3 linked regions of the Saccharomyces cerevisiae S288C genome follow. The gene in region 2 interacts genetically with the main gene of each other region. Each region holds a gene or a part of one and is shown on either strand. Other genes may lie near its edges.

Region 1 (4,213 bases), on a different chromosome or scaffold from region 2:
ATCAGACGGGTATACTTACATATGGGATAGCAGATCTCCGTCCGCTGTACAAAGCTTTTACGTTAACGATAGTGATATTAATGCACTTCGTTTTTTCAAAGACGGGATGTCGATTGTTGCAGGAAGTGACAATGGTGCGATAAATATGTATGATTTAAGGTCGGACTGTTCTATTGCTACTTTTTCTCTTTTTCGAGGTTATGAAGAACGTACCCCTACCCCTACTTATATGGCAGCTAACATGGAGTACAATACCGCGCAATCGCCACAAACTTTAAAATCAACAAGCTCAAGCTATCTAGACAACCAAGGCGTTGTTTCTTTAGATTTTAGTGCATCTGGAAGATTGATGTACTCATGCTATACAGACATTGGTTGTGTTGTGTGGGATGTATTAAAAGGAGAGATTGTTGGAAAATTAGAAGGTCATGGTGGCAGAGTCACTGGTGTGCGCTCGAGTCCAGATGGGTTAGCTGTATGTACAGGTTCATGGGACTCAACCATGAAAATATGGTCTCCAGGTTATCAATAGCTTCGAATTGGAAATACTGTGAGCAGTAATTATCAATGGATGCTATTATATAAATATACATACCTACACCCATCCCATATTTACATAGAATAACAACAGTAACATTAGTTCTGTGGAAGCGCAAAAACGTCCTTTAATAAAGTAAGTCAAAACATTCAACAATGAAAATTCAAAGCATTGTCATTTGCTTCCTTTTTCTCTTTGGATAAACGAAACAAAAACGAACAAAAGTGTCATGCACTCAAAAATTCTTTTCAATCGTTTTGGAAACAGTATTATTCACTGACTTATTTGACCAACTTGCTAGAATCATCTATGTTTTCAGGCATTGTTTAATTTCATGATGGCTGTCCCTACTTTAGCTTGTTATGAGCCTTCACTGGCTCGTCCTTATGTATTGCGTCTGACCCAAAATTTGTCCTTTCTTGTTTAGTGGAATTTTTGTTCGGTAATTTCAAAAATGCCTGAATTTTCATTAACAAATCATCTGGTAGTTGTGTTATAAACATAAAAAACTGCTCCCTTCTGGGATGATTTTCAATTGCTCTCTGTACTGCAGGATCATTCAATATCATCTGAACCACGTCCGTCATCATATCCTCATCTATAAGCGCAAGGCTTTTAATCCAGGGCAAATCGGCTATACGAAGAGACATTTCTTCCTCCGGAGACACTACTTTCCACGGGAGATCAAAATATTTAGATAGTTCACTATTGAGATGTGAGAATTCATGAGGCACATCAACGGTATAGTCAACTGCATATGCATCATCTTCAAACGTTAAGTCATGTTCAATGCTAAACTTTCCAGCGTTACCTATAAAAAAGCATTCTATTTTTAAGTTAAACTCTCCCCAACCGGTTTCCTTGATAAAAAATGGCAGCGAGTTCAGTCGTCTTTTGGGCTGTTTGAAGCTAGAGTGCAAATGGTAGATGCATTTAGAGAGGATGGTAGGCTCCACTTCCTTTCCTGTTGCATCTAACATGAGGAGTTCCATCTGCCACCGACGTAAGGGAAGTTCATTTCCCCGGATGTTTTGTTCCGGTATTATAACCTGTTGTGTTTTTACTCTGAAAGTGACTTCTATTGAATGATCCATAAAAGAGCGTCTATTATATGGCACCAAAAAAAAAAAAAAGGGCTTTTGGAGTCAAGAGTAAAAACAATTTAGTCTGTAGAAAAACTTGAGTTGCTGCACTTCCTCTTCACCCGAACATGGCTGTTCTAGTTTGTTGTCGTGCAACTCTCTAATGGTGATGACTTATTGATGTGGCTTTGATTTTTTCTTGCCCGTGTAACGCGACCGCGCCAGCTGTAAACGTCACTAAATAATACCATTAATTGGTCATTTGCTTATATGTTATATAAATGCTTTCTCTATCAAAACTTTGATTATATGACTGCCGAACTTTAAGGGTGAAGTAACAAGTACAGACCAAATAGAAAAGATAAGATTCCCATCGACGGCATTAAGGAGGATGATGAATTTTCGTATCCCCCAATAGTTGTAATATTTCCCGGGGTGATTGTTGGGAAAATCTCAACGCTGGTAACACCCGTGGATAAAGCTAAACTTGTCGTACTAGATAAATAAGAAATGGTGCTCGTTAATGTTGCAGTACTTGTCGGCATTTCACTATTATTGATGATGCTCATATTAGTTACTAAAATATCTTCATACGCGTAAATTTTCGGTTTCGGAATCTCTTCAAATACCTCGTCTGCCCCGACTTTCTTCTGTATGCTGTCTTCCATAATTTCATGTAGAATACTTTCAATTTGAGAAAACTTTTTGTGCTCCACTATTGTTAGAGGATCTTCCAACAGAAAATCTATAACAGATTTGGAAGCAAGGACCGTATCGGTATGTTCTTGAGAATCAACAGCTCGCGGCTCCTCCGGTAAATCTGCTAATACTAAGTATGGATTAAACTCCATTTGATTTAGCAGAGCTGGTGGTAATGAGTTTTTATCCAAATGGAAAACTAAAGGACCAGGTTCATTTTGTCCTGTTTCATCTTCTTCATACTCATCTGATGTAAAAGTAATTGAGTATTTGGTAGCAAACACTTGTGCCATAAAAAAGGCGAAGAAAAGGGAGGATAGATATAATCCTAACATTTCAATAAGGATCAAAAAAGAGAATGGGATACAAAACTTTACTTTCCTTCCTTTCGTGCTAGTTACTGGCTTGGTGTTGTTCTTTAGTTATGTGTAGCAATGTTAGCTGCTGGTTTTTTGTCTTGGATAACTACAAATACTTTCAGGAAAAGAATAATTTATACATTATACAAAAGCGGCCTCTTTTATAAACAAAGGGCAAATGACAGTTAGCAAGACATATCATGGTTGCCATGGGACACAAAAACGTAGCCACAAAAAAAAAAAAAAAGGTGAAAGGAAGCGAGCATTAATTTTTTATTTTAATATGTAACTGTGATATGTATTAACAAAGTATCTTTCATAATTTTTGACGAATATTTTTACTTCTTTTTTACTATTGAAGGTTGGGCTGTGATTCATCGCGCAGAAAACAAGGACCTCATTTGAAAATTTCCTTGAATTGCTTAACAATGCTATTTTTGATGGCAGTTGGAGATGTCTTCCATTCTGTTGGCAATGACTTCCAGTCGATTTCTCCCATGATTTCCTTAATTTGAACTTTTTTTTCACCTGCCTTTGTTTTGAGGGCGTCCAGTAATTTCTTCACATTTTGATCAATATCAAGCTCTGAAGACACTGGCAATTGGTCCATATATTTCTTTATAATGTCCATTTCACCTTGCTCTTTGGCCACCAGATCGTCCCTCTTGTTAGCAAGGAACTCATTGATCGAGTCCTTTCTTTGAGATATTAACTTGGAGTACATGTCGTACAGGGAGTACTCATCAGCGCTCTTCCCTTTTAAAGCAATTTCTTTGTTTTTTATGGCAGATAACATATTTCTGATTGCTGTCTTCTTCATCTCATCCTTGGCAATCATAGCCTTTTTCAAATCTCCTTTCAATAGGCTGACTGCAGCCGTGTAGGCTGGAGAACTGTTATAACGAATGAAGGTTAGTCTATTTGAAACAAGTGGCCTAATTGATTGTCTGAACATCTTGGAATAGTGTTATTTGCTGTATTCCCCAACTTTATCCCAAAGTCTTTTTTCTCCAGTTCATTACTTCTGTAAAAAATGTTGCAGATCCTTTTTCTTCCCTTTAATTTTGAGTCCTTCCCCCCGAAAAGTCCCAGATGCCGGGTAGATGTGATTTATATCATTTATCGTTTATAGAGTATAAATTGGGTGATGCTACACTAAGTACGTATGCTCTTCTGAACTAGACTTAGTTTGCCCGATTAGTCTTTCTCACTCTCTTTCTCGAGGTAGTTGGTCCAAAGCGATACAAAGCTTTCCGTTCTCGATACAGCGCTTGAATTCTTAGACTCATTATTCGAGATCAAGCCGGCCTGTTGTTTCTTATCTTCATCCCAGTTTAAGAAATTGGACAGTAATTCAAGAACTTCAAACTTTCTTGGGTCTGCTCTGGGTATGGACACGAAAGATATCAATAGATTGGATATCAGTTCTTTATCAACGGATTCAGAATCGCTTGATTTCTTCAACATGGCCAGTGCCTTTGTTAAATGCTCATTTAGTATAATGGCTTCGTGACGTAGTTTTCCGATCTGTAAGA
Region 2 (7,928 bases):
ATTTAGAAATGAATGGGATGATTCGTATCATTAAAAATTCATTACCCGCAGATGAAATACTAACTTCCAATGAAGATGAAATTGAAATTGATTTGGATATTTTAGATGAAGCGACTATTGCAAGAATTTATGAGAGATATTTTGAGAAAAAAAATAACAACAATAGCAAAAGAAAACTAAGTGGCAACTACTCGACTGCGCCAACTAACAAGAAAAAGAAAACCTTGAAATTTTTGGAAAAGGATGAAATCATAAATAATAATAATTATTCCGATTCTGAAGAAGACAGTAGTGATAGTAGCGACAGTGACAGTGATTAACAATCGAAATGGGCTTCATGCCCTAATTAAGGAAAAAAAGAAAAGAAAAAAAAAATTGGGAAGAATGGGGATAAAAAAGATTTGTAACATTATAAACAAAAATAAGAAATAATTGTTTTTACGTACTTATTGTAAATAAAACAAAGGGATAACGGACAAAAAGGCATCGTTTCTTTTGTACTATGATTTACGCAAATGGTAATTAATTAGAGGTATGCATATAGTTTTTATAATTGATTCAATGAATTTTTTGTTATCGTTTTTAATTTCGAGTAATTTCAGGTAACCAATAAAGGATAAGATCACTTTCCAATCGTTCAAGTTCTGAAAATCATTAGAGCTGGAAGTTAATCCCATTTCCTTCGGCAAATTGGCAGGTATTCGCAAATGAGCTAATTGGTTAATTTTCAACGAATTCTTGATAAGCCAGCTTATCGAGTCCATGTTCACTACTCGAGCTCGATCTAAGTTATGAATGTAATTGAAGTTTTTGTTCATTATATTAAACTGATTGAAATTCGTAAATGTTATTGTAAGCATCTTATTAATTTCCAAGTGAATGAGCTGTTCACCCAATTTTTGTAAAGTTTCGTTTCTTGTTTCAAATGTATTTCCTGTGCTCAAGTCTCCAGTCATTGGTACTCGTACCAACATATTCCTGCTTGTGGTATATAGCAGTTTAGTTAGTTCTTTAGTCGGTATGCGTTCCTTTCCTTTATATCCGTCAGGATTAACTTCAAGGACTTCACACAGTTTTTCTATCTTACTAATATTCTTTTTCGTCACCGTGTTTATAGTTCTGATGGGAATATACCTGCGAATCCCAGATATTCGAGCAACAGTAGTTGCAAACACTTTTGTCCTCAACATGTCGAGATTCATTATCTGATTTATTCTTTTATCCTGCTATAAAGAAACCATAGAAGAATAGAAGCAAAGGGGTAGTACGTGGCACCTCCTAAAGGTAATATTGTACTATTCCTAGTTCACTCAAGGTCTGCCTGTCTTATTCTCCACATACATTTTCTATAACTCTTTTTTTAAGTTTGTTTTTATTTTAGTTTGACACTACATAAATATGTAAAACTATTTTTTCAAATTATACAAATAGAAAATTATGATAAAGGTCAAAAAGAAAGAAAAGAATGACTTGTCTGTTTTCCTTCCCTACAAACTCTTGCAAAAGTAATCAATCGAGGCCAGCACAGAAAAAAAATAAAAGATAAATAAATAGGAATAAGAATATAATGCGAAAAACAATAGTGGTCAGGTTCGGTCAGTTCTCTTGCTTTTTCCTCTCAGCTAGCTCTGCGTAGAACTTCTCTCTCTTGTTAATCTTATCCATGTGGAATCCCCACCACCAGTAAGAGGCCATGACACCCCCGAGGGAGAACCCGAGGACGATGTCCATGATGACTCTTCTCTTGATCGTACCAGTAATTGGAGCAATAGTCATGTCTGTGTAAGTCGCTTGTAGTTAGTAGTTTGCAAATATCTTGCTTGCTCTAATTCTCGGTCCTAATTTTCCCTGAAGATAAGAGTCTCTTTCATCGATTCTTTTAATACCACAGGAACAAAGCGGGCATCGTGGTAGCGGGCCAATCAGGTTGCAGTAAATGAAGAGATATAGAGGAGGACTCTGCTAAAGACCATAACAAGGGTCTGCAATGATCTTGGACTAAATAAAGGTGTCTTACAATCCAAAAGAGCTTGAATCATTCCTTTTATGAGCTAAATAGCACCGTTTGCACCTTCTGATAACGCTTTACGGGTCACGCGCGGATTTTGACTCACATAATTCCACTTGCCCATATAAAGAGGGACTCATATGATCTTATGAAATCTTCCTTCAAGCAATTGTGAGACAACAGACGCACAAGGAAGATCGCCCAGCATGAGTATGTTATCTAGAAGATTATTTTCCACCTCTCGCCTTGCTGCTTTCAGTAAGATTAAGGTCAAACAACCCGTTGTCGAGTTGGACGGTGATGAAATGACCCGTATCATTTGGGATAAGATCAAGAAGAAATTGATTCTACCCTACTTGGACGTAGATTTGAAGTACTACGACTTATCTGTCGAATCTCGTGACGCCACCTCCGACAAGATTACTCAGGATGCTGCTGAGGCGATCAAGAAGTATGGTGTTGGTATCAAATGTGCCACCATCACTCCTGATGAAGCTCGTGTGAAGGAATTCAACCTGCACAAGATGTGGAAATCTCCTAATGGTACCATCAGAAACATTCTCGGCGGTACAGTGTTCAGAGAGCCCATTGTGATTCCTAGAATTCCTAGACTGGTCCCACGTTGGGAAAAACCAATCATTATTGGAAGACACGCCCACGGTGATCAATATAAAGCTACGGACACACTGATCCCAGGCCCAGGATCTTTGGAACTGGTCTACAAGCCATCCGACCCTACGACTGCTCAACCACAAACTTTGAAAGTGTATGACTACAAGGGCAGTGGTGTGGCCATGGCCATGTACAATACTGACGAATCCATCGAAGGGTTTGCTCATTCGTCTTTCAAGCTGGCCATTGACAAAAAGCTAAATCTTTTCTTGTCAACCAAGAACACTATTTTGAAGAAATATGACGGTCGGTTCAAAGACATTTTCCAAGAAGTTTATGAAGCTCAATATAAATCCAAATTCGAACAACTAGGGATCCACTATGAACACCGTTTAATTGATGATATGGTCGCTCAAATGATAAAATCTAAAGGTGGCTTTATCATGGCGCTAAAGAACTATGACGGTGATGTCCAATCTGACATCGTCGCTCAAGGATTTGGCTCCTTAGGTTTGATGACTTCTATCTTAGTTACACCAGACGGTAAAACTTTCGAAAGTGAAGCTGCTCATGGTACCGTGACAAGACATTATAGAAAGTACCAAAAGGGTGAAGAAACTTCTACAAACTCCATTGCATCCATTTTCGCGTGGTCGAGAGGTCTATTGAAGAGAGGTGAATTGGACAATACTCCTGCTTTGTGTAAATTTGCCAATATTTTGGAATCCGCCACTTTGAACACAGTTCAGCAAGACGGTATCATGACGAAGGACTTGGCTTTGGCTTGCGGTAACAACGAAAGATCTGCTTATGTTACCACAGAAGAATTTTTGGATGCCGTTGAAAAAAGACTACAAAAAGAAATCAAGTCGATCGAGTAATCGAATTTACGTAGCCCAATCTACCACTTTTTTTTTTCATTTTTTAAAGTGTTATACTTAGTTATGCTCTAGGATAATGAACTACTTTTTTTTTTTTTTTTTTACTGTTATCATAAATATATATACCTTATTGTTGTTTGCAACCGTCGGTTAATTCCTTATCAAGGTTCCCCAAGTTCGGATCATTACCATCAATTTCCAACATTTTCATGAGTTCTTCTTCTTCATTACCGTGTTTTAGGGGGCTGTTCGCACTTCTAATAGGGCTATCACCAAGCTGTTCTAATTCGTCCAAAAGTTCAGTAACACGATCTTTATGCTTTAGCTCGTCATAATCTTTCAATTCATAAATATTTACAATTTCGTCTACGATATTAAATTGCCTCTTGTAGGTGCCTATCTTTTCCTTATGCTCTTCATTTTCACCGTTTTCTTGAAACCAAACACCGAACTCACTACGCATTTCTTTCATAGGCTCATATAATACTTCTTTTGACGTCATTTGATCAAGTATTTTTGTTATTGCGTCGTCCATCTCCCCATCTTTTAGATCAAATTGATTTTCTGCACTTTCTTTTCCACCAGATGCTACCATTTGATCTAATAATTGTGACAATATATCATCAATATTATTATTTTGGCCACTGCGTTGAGATTCCTTGGTTTCTTCGGCTAGGGATGTATCAACTTTATTACCATTTTCCTTTAACCTGTCTAGCGTATTGGAAACAATGTTTTTAAATCCCGGATTGCTACCATTCACGGTCCCTTTATCAGTGCTGTTACTTTTCAAACTACTACATCCTTGCTCCATCTGTTGATGAGGTACTTTAGCTGCCTCTTCTAGAGCACTAATCAGTTTATTAAAATCTTCTGTCTTCACATTATTCTCGTTACCGTTATTTTTCATCAAATTTGCGAACTCATTTTGCAAATCTACCATCATTTCTTTCAATTCTGGGTCCTCTTCAGATTCATTAGCTACCTGTACGCCATCACTGTCCTTACTTTCGGCATTCTTCTCTTTGTTTTCACTATCGTTGTACACAGAACCCTTCGCTTGCACATCATCGGGCTCTGCTTCATCCAGTTTAGTGGGATCTTCATCTAAAAGGTCATCCAAATCATCAAAATTATCGTACTCGTTTTCATTCATTACTTCGTGTTGTATGTTTGGCATTTCTTCTTTCCGTCAATACTTCGGTTCCCACAATTTGTAATTCTTTCTTCACTTTATATCTCTCAGAAACCGCGTTTAACATCTGGAAATTAAAAATTATTCCTGTCTCCATAACAAACATTTAAAAAAAGAAGAGAAATTTAGCATAGGATAAGCACACACTGGCACCATTTTTTGGAAGCAATATGAGTAGTTTGTGTCTACAGCGTCTTCAGGAAGAAAGGTAAGTAGTAGTTTTCCTCCTTTTATGCTTACATTCTGTAGGCATACACAATTTCATCCAGCGGTATACTAACAAATCGATGAACTTAACTTGTTTTACTTGAATAACAGAAAAAAATGGAGAAAGGATCATCCATTTGGATTTTATGCCAAACCAGTTAAGAAAGCTGATGGGTCCATGGATTTACAGAAATGGGAAGCTGGTATCCCAGGCAAAGAAGGTACAAACTGGGCGGGTGGTGTGTACCCAATTACAGTCGAATATCCAAATGAATATCCTTCAAAACCTCCAAAGGTTAAATTTCCAGCCGGATTTTATCATCCAAACGTGTATCCAAGTGGCACAATATGTTTAAGTATTTTAAATGAAGATCAAGATTGGAGACCCGCCATCACGTTAAAACAAATTGTTCTTGGGGTTCAGGATCTTTTAGACTCTCCAAATCCAAATTCCCCTGCTCAAGAGCCTGCATGGAGATCATTTTCAAGAAATAAGGCGGAATATGACAAGAAAGTTTTGCTTCAAGCTAAACAGTACTCTAAATAGAGGGAATCCATCTTTCCCATTCTTCCTCCTTTTGTACTTTATTTAACTAATGTCGTTGTGTAACAAAAATAGAGCAAAATAACATTATTTACAAATTCTCAAAAATAATTTTTTGCTCTTTGTTTCTTATGCTAAGTAAATAGAAAGATATTTTTTGTACCATTTTCTATAAGTATGGCAACTATATACACTTTAATAAATCTATTGGTTAGTAGAATTTTCATTCATTTTGTAGTGAATGAAACTATCCAACGTAGTAAAGCAATCATGGCATCTTTCTTTTAGTTCGGGATTTTTGTTTTTATCAACCATTTTGAATTGCTGCCTCAAATTTGGTACAACTTGGTCTTTTAGAATAGATAAAAATCCACCCCTTACAAATATTGGTTCATTATAGTCGTAAGAGGCATCCCCGTAAATTTGGAAAAGCGAATTTGTCATTTCTATCAAAATTTCAGGGCGAACATTCAACTGTGTTAAAGTTTGTATGAAGAACTGCCCAATCTCCTTATTTGCATCAATTTGTCCCTGAATCATAGCATATGTGCTTAGTACATTAATACATTTTTGTTGTAACTCAAGGTCATTATTATTTTGGAACTCTTCAATAATTCCCCTAGCGAATCCTGAATTGTTCAGCATTTGGACATTGATCAATGCTCGATTCTCACTTTCAAACGCTCCATCAGGAAAGATGAGTTTCAGAAGCGCCCAAATACAGCCCATTCTTCCTATTTTAATACTCAAATCATCTTGGCTGTCCAACTGTGTAACATAACTCCATAAGGTGGTTAACAACTCTCCAGAGAGCTCTGTTAGAGATAGAGACACAAAGAGCCAGATCAGATTGTTCCATCCGATCAATATTCGCGAGGTGAAGGTATCTTTCAAAATCATGAAAACGTGAGGTAAGAAATTTGTTAAGGTATTGATTAGCTCCTCTGGAATTGCTACTTCCTGTGATTCTGGTGATTCATATTTGGATGCAACTATCTCAATGATTGCGGTGATAAGATCAATTGCTATTTCAATGCTTTGCAATTTTATCATGGATTCGTTACGTTTCGCATTGTAATCCTTGATCTTAGTTATAACCTTACTGCTTTCATCTTTACTAGTAGCAGGTCCAATTTCTACAGGGTTATTAATGTCATTAACTAACTGTACTGGATCAATGTTATTAATGGAATGACATACAGAGTGGATCATTTTGTTACATTGATCATAAGTTATTTTCATGTCAAGGAATTGGCAATGGATACCTTCAATTAGAACTTTTGTTAATTCATTAGCTTGTGGATGTAAAGCCGGAGATAGCCCATTTAAGAACTGTGATAGAAGTTCATTGTTGGAAACATGATCAATAAATTCAAATGATTCGGAACTCAAATCATAAATGAGATCAAGAGTGGTATTGAACAGATTAATTGGCAGTTTCTCGACACCATATTTTAATAGCTGTGAAATGACCTGAAAAATTTCATTTATTTTACTTTCCGTTAATATCTCATTAAGAATATCGTCGGATCCATTAGACAGAGCCACCACTAACGACAGTAAGTTATCGGCAAAATCGAATAACAACCTTTTAGATTCTATTTTGGATTTTCCTGCAGGTTTTAGCTGCGGTTGCTGTTCTGCTGCTTGCAAAGCGGATAACGATTCAACAATCCTGCCAAAATTACTTGTTATACTTGTCCATATATCAGATCTCCAAAGGTAGATTGACACATCATAACCTTCTTCCAAAGACAAGTTCCTTAATAAGCCGAACGACTCCACAACTATGTCCGAATTAGAATCGTTCAGCAATTTATTCAAAATGATAGGAACTAATTTCTCTTTCAGTAAAAGTTGTCTCATATGTGCATCCTCACAAAGAACACTGATGGAACTCAAAGCAATACTTCTATCATTAGGCACCACACTTGACAAATTCTGCAATAGCGGCTGGAGTTTTTTATTAACGACGTTGGTATCTTTATTATTGTCATTTGACCCAGCTTTGCGTAGTGGATTTAATCGAGACGAAGATGCTCTTGATCTTTTCTTTGATCTGCCCATTCTTTTCTGCCCTAAAAAGTCGATTTCTGCGTCCTTGTACAAACTCGAAAATCTGATCGAAAGTACTTGGAATCCAGTAAGAATAATGGGGGCGTTGCTACGAAGATTTAATTTTACAATACATAGACCTTTAAACAATGGTAGATAAATGGATGAGATGAGATGAGATGAGATGAGATGAGATGAAAAATTTTCTGAATAAGAGAACTACTCGTTCTAAATGATTATTGTACATTTTGCATAGAAAAATGGCAATAAACAGGGCAGTACTATTTCATCATCATCACTAAACATTAGTTGGCAAACTTATTAAGCCAACAGTACTTGTGACTAGAATTTTTTATTATATCGCCAATATTTAATGATAAACATAATATAGTAATACCAAAAATAATTATGATAACTTATACAAAA
Region 3 (7,561 bases), on a different chromosome or scaffold from region 2:
GCACGTAATTTTCAAAAGAGTTGTACACGTTGTTAGTCAAGATGGTGAAAATGGTATCGAAGGACGTATTCTATGAAAGATAGAGTTTGTAGTAAGCCAAATATTAGAATTTAGCTAGTAAATCAGACTCCTTTCGAGGCAATAAACTGTCGTTATTCTGTTCATTGCCTATATGGTCGCTATAATACCTCATGCTTCCTTTACCACAATTAAACTAACCCAGAAAACTGAGGGAAGCCAAATGCCAACTGAGGAGATCTGCAAAATCAATATGAGGACTCGTAAATTTGATGTGGGCGGGAATTCTCGAGATTTTGAGTGCTTTTATTCGAATTTTGTTCAAACTGTTATATTGTTGGGCACTTTTTTTTACTGTGTTGAAAGGCTTCAGCCGTGGTCCATTGTTACCGCTGATATATCTTATAAACAAATCTTTGTAAATGTCTTTGTGGTGTGTTTGATAATGGTTGGTCTGATATTCACAAAATATTGGCAACATGGTTACAAAAGCCTACCCAAGTTCGATACCATTTACAGTTTATATTTACCGTTTATGGTTTCGTTGTTGTTCGATACATCATCTACGGTGATAAATACTATTTTGATCCTTTCGGTATTAAATTCATATAGATGGCGAACTCAGTTGGTAGTGATCATTTTACAGCTCTGCCTCATATTTTTTAATTTTGAGGCTGGTGACAGGTTAAAGAATATTATTAGCATAGTAATAAATTCTTTACTGTCGTTAATTTTGAAGTATATTGGGCAATTGAAAAGTTTAGATAATATCGACTCTAATCTTTTTAGTATCCTATTAACCAATATTCTGTACGTTTCAGAGGCTGGCACAGTACATTTTAGAATTTTGAAGGGCATTATCCTTGCTCTCACAACAATAATTTCAATTAACTATGTGCTCAAAAAGGTAATGCACTTTAAACCGTTTATGCTGTCAATATCCTTTGCCATCGGGCTTCCACTTTTTGCCAATACCTTCATTCATTTAGAAGACGGTGAAAATCCGCTACTTTGGCTGGTAAAATATATCTTAGAGTCTACTATTCGTCAAAAGATTTTGTTTGCTTGGTCTTCAATTCTTATACTGTCCATACCAAGTATATTGATCGAGAAGGACAGTCTATCGTTGAACACCTCCCGAAAATTGTGGCATTTCATCATTTTCTTACTCATAATACCGTCATTCCAAATGGATTCAAACTTTGTGAAAATTGCATTGTCCGGAACAATACCAGTCTTCTTATCAATTGAGTACATAAGATTTCAAAACCTACCGCCGTTAGGATCTGCTATTGAATTACAACTAAGAAGGTTTGCTGATGATAGGGACCACAGCGGGCCATTGATCATATCATACCTTTATTTACTCTTCGGAATATCAACACCTTTATTAATGAATAACTCTCCAATGGGTCTAATAGGATTGGGAATTGGTGATTCCTTAGCATCTATTATTGGTAAAAGGTATGGCCGCATTCGTTGGAAAGGTACACAAAAAACTTTAGAGGGAACTCTTGCGTTTATAGTAACGAGTTTTATCGTTTGTTTGGTATTGTTACGTTTTGATAAAGCTGCAATTTTTAACCACCTAACTACTTTACAATTGCTTACCCTTTGTACACTGAGTGGAGTGCTAGAAGGTAATAGTGTGCTTAATGACAATATTTTGATACCTGCATTTATGATGATTTGTGAAAAATTAATTACTCTTTGACAAAGTCAATTATTTTCAACTTTTAAAATTACATAACTAATTGTTTGCATTTATGAATAGAATAAAGAAAAGAATAGAGCAGTAAAGAAAAAAAAATAATTGTAAGTATTTTTTTTTCGTTTTATATCTAGTACTTACACGTAGTATATACAAGTATGGGCTATAGATATAAAGAAAAATAATAAATAAACGAGATTGTTAAGTTAGCTCTCTATTTCTTACCATGCTTCTTTTTATTGTTGGTTTTGTTTTTGCTCTTAGAGTTGGAAGAATCGCCTTCTATAAATGTTAACAACTCATCCACACTTTTGTTAGCCAATTCAGGTTTAACGTCATCCTTCTTTTGACGGTGATTGGTTTTTTTATGGCCAGCTGAATTTGATCCCGTTGTCGACATTTGATCTTGTGCAAGTTGCTTCTTTTGTTTTAAATCCATTATTAATGAGCTTAAACCATTAACCCACTGTCTTGATTGGGCTGAGTGCGTGTGATTCATACCCAATTGCTTGGTGAAAATCCCTTGGGTTACAGTGATGTGCTCTAATGCACGGTGGAAATCCTTCAATGCTGCAAACAAATTACCTAAACGTGACTCGGTATAGCCATATGCTAATGAATCTTTGCCTTCTAATTCCACAACATAGGAGCTTAGTTGTCCCAAGACTTCAATAGCCAATTTGGTATCTTGAACACCTAGGGCTAATTGTTCCAAATGGTTGAAAATGCTTGTGGGGGCTGGGTGATGGATTTTTGGTAACTCATAAACTTTTAGGATTTCTGCGAGCCTATTATAAACCACAGTAGCGTTATAAGGACTTTCATTAGAGAATTCTAGAATTGCTAAATTAGTTAAAGCCCTCATCATTTCAAAAGAATCAATACCGCTAACTCTTTCATAAATAGTACATGCTTTACGACAGAACGCGATAGCTTCAGGGTATAATGCTAACTTATTATAAATGGCAGATAATGACAAGTACTTTTCAGCAACGGCGGGATGTAAAATATTGTTAACATCTTCTAAGACTGTAATTGATTGAGCGAGTAAAGTCAAAGCACTTTGTTTGTCTTCGTTGATCATAGAAGCACCTTGAGCCCAAAATTCCTCACTAACTGAAGAAGTATATTCTGAGAACTTAACACGTGGAATAATGGTCAAATCGCTTAAACTGAAGGTAGTTGGTGGTTCGACAAACTTGTTCCTAATTTTCTTGTCAAGACTTTGCTTATAACTTTCCAATTGTTCTCTAGTAAAGAAGTATTCTTTATTGAGCAATTGAATACCAAATTTGTAAGAAACACTTCTAATGAGGGTGAAAGGATTTTCCATGTAAGCTTCGATCCAATTGGATGGTAATTGATGACGGAAACGCAAGAAGGCTTGTTTAGAGACAGCTTCCAGCAATTCGGAGCGTGTTAATTTAGCAAATGAGCACTTATTGACTGGATAAAATTCGTCGACTGGTTCTGGCTTCGGATCAGCATTGTAGTTGATACCAACTAACATATTGAAAACGTATGCTACCAGTGATGGAACCAAGAAGACCGGAACATCTTTACTCAAATCTTTTAAAACATGTTTCAAAGAACGCGAAACAATTTCTAATTCGGAAATTTTAATTAATGGCACTAGCTCATCATAGGCAACGACCACAGGTTTTCCATCGGTGGGCTTTTTGATTTCTTCATCGTTTAATTTCAAATCTTCAGTTAGTTCTTTTGGAACCTCTTTGCCTTCTTGTACCAGCTTATTAATCTTGGCTTGTCTCTCTTTAATCATGTTCTCAATTTTTTGCAGATAAGATTTTTCCCAATCCTCATATTCTTTGTTGTCTTGTTCAACAGCTTTCAAATTTTGTTCGTAGTGGACAATTTGGGAGTCCAATTCCTTTTGAGAAAGCTCGATAATTTTACCCAAGTAACGCATGTTGATACCATTCTTATGTAAAGTATCGGCTAAATGTTCACCATTATAAGGAGTGCTCAAATTTCCAGATAAATAATCTTGAATAACGCTGGGAATAACTTCTTTTTGTAAGTAGTTCGACATTTCGTCAACATTAGCGTCCTCAATACCTTCGACCTGGTAAGCATCAGGGTTATAACTAAACAAATTTTCTTCATAGGCCTTTTCAAATTCAACACCTTCCTTCTCAACTTTATTATTCCACCACTTTTCTACTAACTCCGGACGTAACAAAGTTTGCCTGTGTGGGTAACGGTTTCCAGTCTCTTCGATGTTGTCAAAGTTTTGTCTAGCAAAGTTGATGTCCAAGGGATACGTGTTGGCTAAATCCAAAATATAGCGCCTCTTATCGAATCCAACTATTCCCTTGGATTGCGATGAAAATGCTAATTCAGTACCGTTGACTTTGTGCTTTTTCAAATGGAATGCCTTGACAAACTTTTTTTCTAAAACAGAATCAAAGTCAGCATCATAAACAATCTTTCCCAAACCTTCATCAAGGCCGTACTTTACATTAATATCATTGACAAAATCTTCGGTAACCTCTTCGCCGGTATTAGCATCTTTTACAATTTTGTTACCCATGGTAGCTAAGAGTCCAGGTACTGGAGTTTGAGCCAAAATTCTTCTGCCTGCAAATTCGACTACAGTTGTTAAAAGATAACGAACTTCGTGCATATGCAAGCGATTCAAAATATTGATTGTCTTCAAGTCTTGGTTGGAAGCAGCGATTGCAGCTTCATCCCCACCTTTCCCTTCATAATTGCCACTAACGTCGGAAACATAGGAATAAAAGATATTGTCTTTTAAGAAAATTTGATCCCGAGTTGGAGATTCTGGGTTCATTGCAACGAAATCACTGTAAAAAATTGACATAGCGCCTGATGCTGCAGTAACAGAAAATTCATGTACAACTTTAGAAAACAACCTTTCCATTTCAATACGATCTTGTAATGTTGACGTAGTCAAATCTTTAATGGCTTGAAATTCATCATTAAAGTTTCTTTCTGGCGTGGTATCCAAGGCGGCAGTTTGTAACCTCAGATAATCTGGGTTATTTGGTGGCAATGAAGAAACAAACCATGGTTTATGCAAGAAAGTATTGCTTGGTCTTACATAGCTTGTAGAATCTAAAGCAGATAGTTTTTTCTCGAATGCTTGGACATGAGAAATGAATTTTTTAGAGCGAGAAGCAATCAAGTCAAATAGACTGTAATAGATCAGGGATGAGTGCGCGTTCTCGTCAGTGTTTTCTTTTGGAGAAGGATCGAACTTAGTTGAGTTTGATTTATTGACATAGAATCCAGATGGAATTGCAGTGATATAGAAACTCTCACCTTCCAAAGTGACAATTTGTAGGTAAAATAGATGACCTTTACTTCTATAAAATGGAGGTACAGGATTGTAAGGTGCGAAACTCAAAGACCTGACGCACGGCGTGATGATGTTGGATTCAGAGGTGAGAAGTTTGTTAATTGAAGAATTCTTAAAGCTAGAAAACACTTCGTGAACCATCTCGTTAAATTTTAGTTTTTCCTCGTCAGTCACATCTTTGAAAGTATTTTTCTTTTCTTCTGGATCGCTCTTCTCGTCTTTTTCTTCTTGTTTTGAGCGTTCCTTGATAGGACCCAACGGTAACGAGGAAAAGCTTGAACCAGTAGAAATAGCAAATTCAGATAATCCATCTGAGGTTTCTTGGGCAAATCCGATGAAATCGCGAACAGTAATCACATGTTTCAAAGCCTCTCTTGCGCTATATGGCTTCAGTATCAATTGAAGTTTTAACTCGCTTTTCTCACCAACAATTTCCTTTATAGACATTTCATCAGATAGCTGGGAGTCACCTTCAATTGTTTTCAGCCCAACGTTTGTCAGGTACTTGGAACTTGGAATCATAGCCAACACATCTAGAACAGTTTGAATTTTGGATTCCTTGCCGATTTCAAAAGATATATCATTATTTTTTGAACTTTGGGTCTTTTTGAGATGTTTCGTATTATGCGAATGGTTATCTTCTTTTGGAAGTTTGACAGTCACCTTAACGGTGGCGTTTTTAACTTCTTCTTTTTTCTCGCTCATAGAGATTAAAGATATGCAGTCTCAGATAAACTGTAACACTACGCTGATTTGATTCGTTCTGTAAACAAATTACAGCTCAATTACTACTCTGTGTTTAGTGAACCTTATATCCAATCTTCACTGCAGACAATTTCCTTTTTTGAGAATACTTCGAAGCGTATAATTTCCAAGAAATGGTATCCGTTTTATTGGCCATGTTTGACCGGAAAAAACCTTGGTCGACGTGAAGAAAAAAATTTTCAAATTTCTTCAAAAAGAAAACTCCGCTACGGGGAGTCGAACCCCGGTCTCCACGGTGAAAGCGTGATGTGATAGCCGTTACACTATATCGGATTATATTTCACTGTTGATATTTTTCGTAGAGAACTCCTTATCGAGTTATTAAAGAAACGATCATATCAATTGTTCTATTTTTACATAACTACTCTGACATTATAGTTTCATAAAGCACTGCTACTTATATATTTGGAATTTCTGTGTACCTAATATTATAGTCCTTATCCCCAACGGTTGAACCCAAACAATCATCAAATCATGCACAAGTTTCTCAGCTATCCCATTTCAACTATGATAAAGGTTCATCTTCAAAGTGTATCCATTCAATCCAGTAAATGCAATCATTTCGCTGTATATGACGATATATTGGTGATATGAATGCTAGTCGATAGATTATTGTTTAATTTTGTTCTAACTCGCCAGAAAGAACCAACTGTTTACTTGAAGCTAATTTCCTTGCTTGGTTGGTGACTTATTTATTATTTTTCATAATTAGTTAATTAGTGATCATATGAAGTAATCAGCCACAATACGCCATTGATGCTTGAAGGCGAAAAACAATATATGATTACGTGATATGTGGCACAGTAAAGTTAAAGATTCATTATTACTTCAACGAGAAACTTGACGTCTCATGTATAAGGATATGAGTCGTTACATTGAAAATACAGTAAATGGTTCCACCATTATTATGTTGGTCTTGTTTAGTATGGCCGATCGGCGTGTGTTTTGTTTGCACCTTTTATATAGTAGAAGAATATTTGTCTTAATTCTTATTAGTACTGCAACCTAACCACTAATTATCAACAATTATTGGATTATATAAAGGAGGTAAATTGCCGGATTAAAATCAAATATCATTCATCAACAAGTATTCATATTGTCGGCATATTTTTACATGCGGTGTAAGTATTTGGATCGTATTCTTATAGTGTCAATACCTCGAAGCAGCGTTTCAAGTACCAGACGTATGTAGGAACTTTTTAACGTCGAGTCCGTAAGATTTGATCAGTATTAAAAAAATCTAGATAAATGAGTGGTACAAATAAAAACATCATTAAAAATCGTTAAATAAAAAAGTATGAAGATCATCTATTAAAGTATTAGTAGCCATTAGCCTTAAAAAAATCAGTGCTAGTTTAAGTATAATCTCTTATTCCTCGGAAACTCTTTTTTCTTTTGAGATCCAGCTACCAGATTTCCATGGTTTGACACCTTCAACATACATTTCATTAACTTCCTCTAATGTTAAGCCCTTGGTTTCACAGACAAAGAAAAACACGTAGAAGAATGAAAATACCAAACAGCCCATGAAGACATACCCGTATGAAAATCCAATTGCACTTGTAATGAAGGGAGTGAAGAAACCAATCAAGAAACCCCAAATCCAGTTGGCACCAACAGCAATAGCCATAGCACGATTTTTGACACGCAAAGGATAGGATTCGGCAACAATAACGTAGGCAATTGGGGCCCAACTAATAGCGAAGAAGAAAATGAATAAACAG

The links.
Region 1: mutations in CBS1 (region 2) and SPR2 together harm fitness more than expected from each alone (negative genetic interaction), as found in Saccharomyces cerevisiae (one large-scale study listed by BioGRID).
Region 3: mutations in CBS1 (region 2) and CLU1 together harm fitness more than expected from each alone (negative genetic interaction), as found in Saccharomyces cerevisiae (one large-scale study listed by BioGRID).

What each region holds. Positions count from the first base shown.
Region 1 is NC_001147.6:743,650-747,862, forward strand, and holds SPR2 (Spr2p), read right to left. Parts: upstream 2,655-4,213; coding exon 1,944-2,654; downstream 1-1,943. Other genes in the region: STE4 (G protein subunit beta), read left to right, coding at 1-532; SAS5 (Sas5p), read right to left, coding at 886-1,632; AIM41 (Aim41p), read right to left, coding at 3,076-3,633; RUD3 (Rud3p), read right to left, coding at 3,876-4,213.
Region 2 is NC_001136.10:332,621-340,548, forward strand, and holds CBS1 (Cbs1p), read right to left. Parts: upstream 1,191-7,928; coding exon 501-1,190; downstream 1-500. Other genes in the region: BDF2 (Bdf2p), read left to right, coding at 1-320; COX9 (cytochrome c oxidase subunit VIIa), read right to left, coding at 1,597-1,776; isocitrate dehydrogenase (NADP(+)) IDP1, read left to right, coding at 2,215-3,501; PEX19 (Pex19p), read right to left, coding at 3,629-4,657; E2 SUMO-conjugating protein UBC9, read left to right, coding at 4,867-4,904, 5,015-5,450; SYO1 (Syo1p), read right to left, coding at 5,652-7,514. UniProt on the Saccharomyces cerevisiae protein: mRNA-specific translational activator of cytochrome b.
Region 3 is NC_001145.3:289,350-296,910, reverse strand, and holds CLU1 (translation initiation factor 3 subunit CLU1), read right to left. Parts: upstream 5,778-7,561; coding exon 1,944-5,777; downstream 1-1,943. Other genes in the region: SEC59 (dolichol kinase), read left to right, coding at 173-1,732; hexose transporter HXT2, read right to left, coding at 7,207-7,561. UniProt on the Saccharomyces cerevisiae protein: mRNA-binding protein involved in proper cytoplasmic distribution of mitochondria.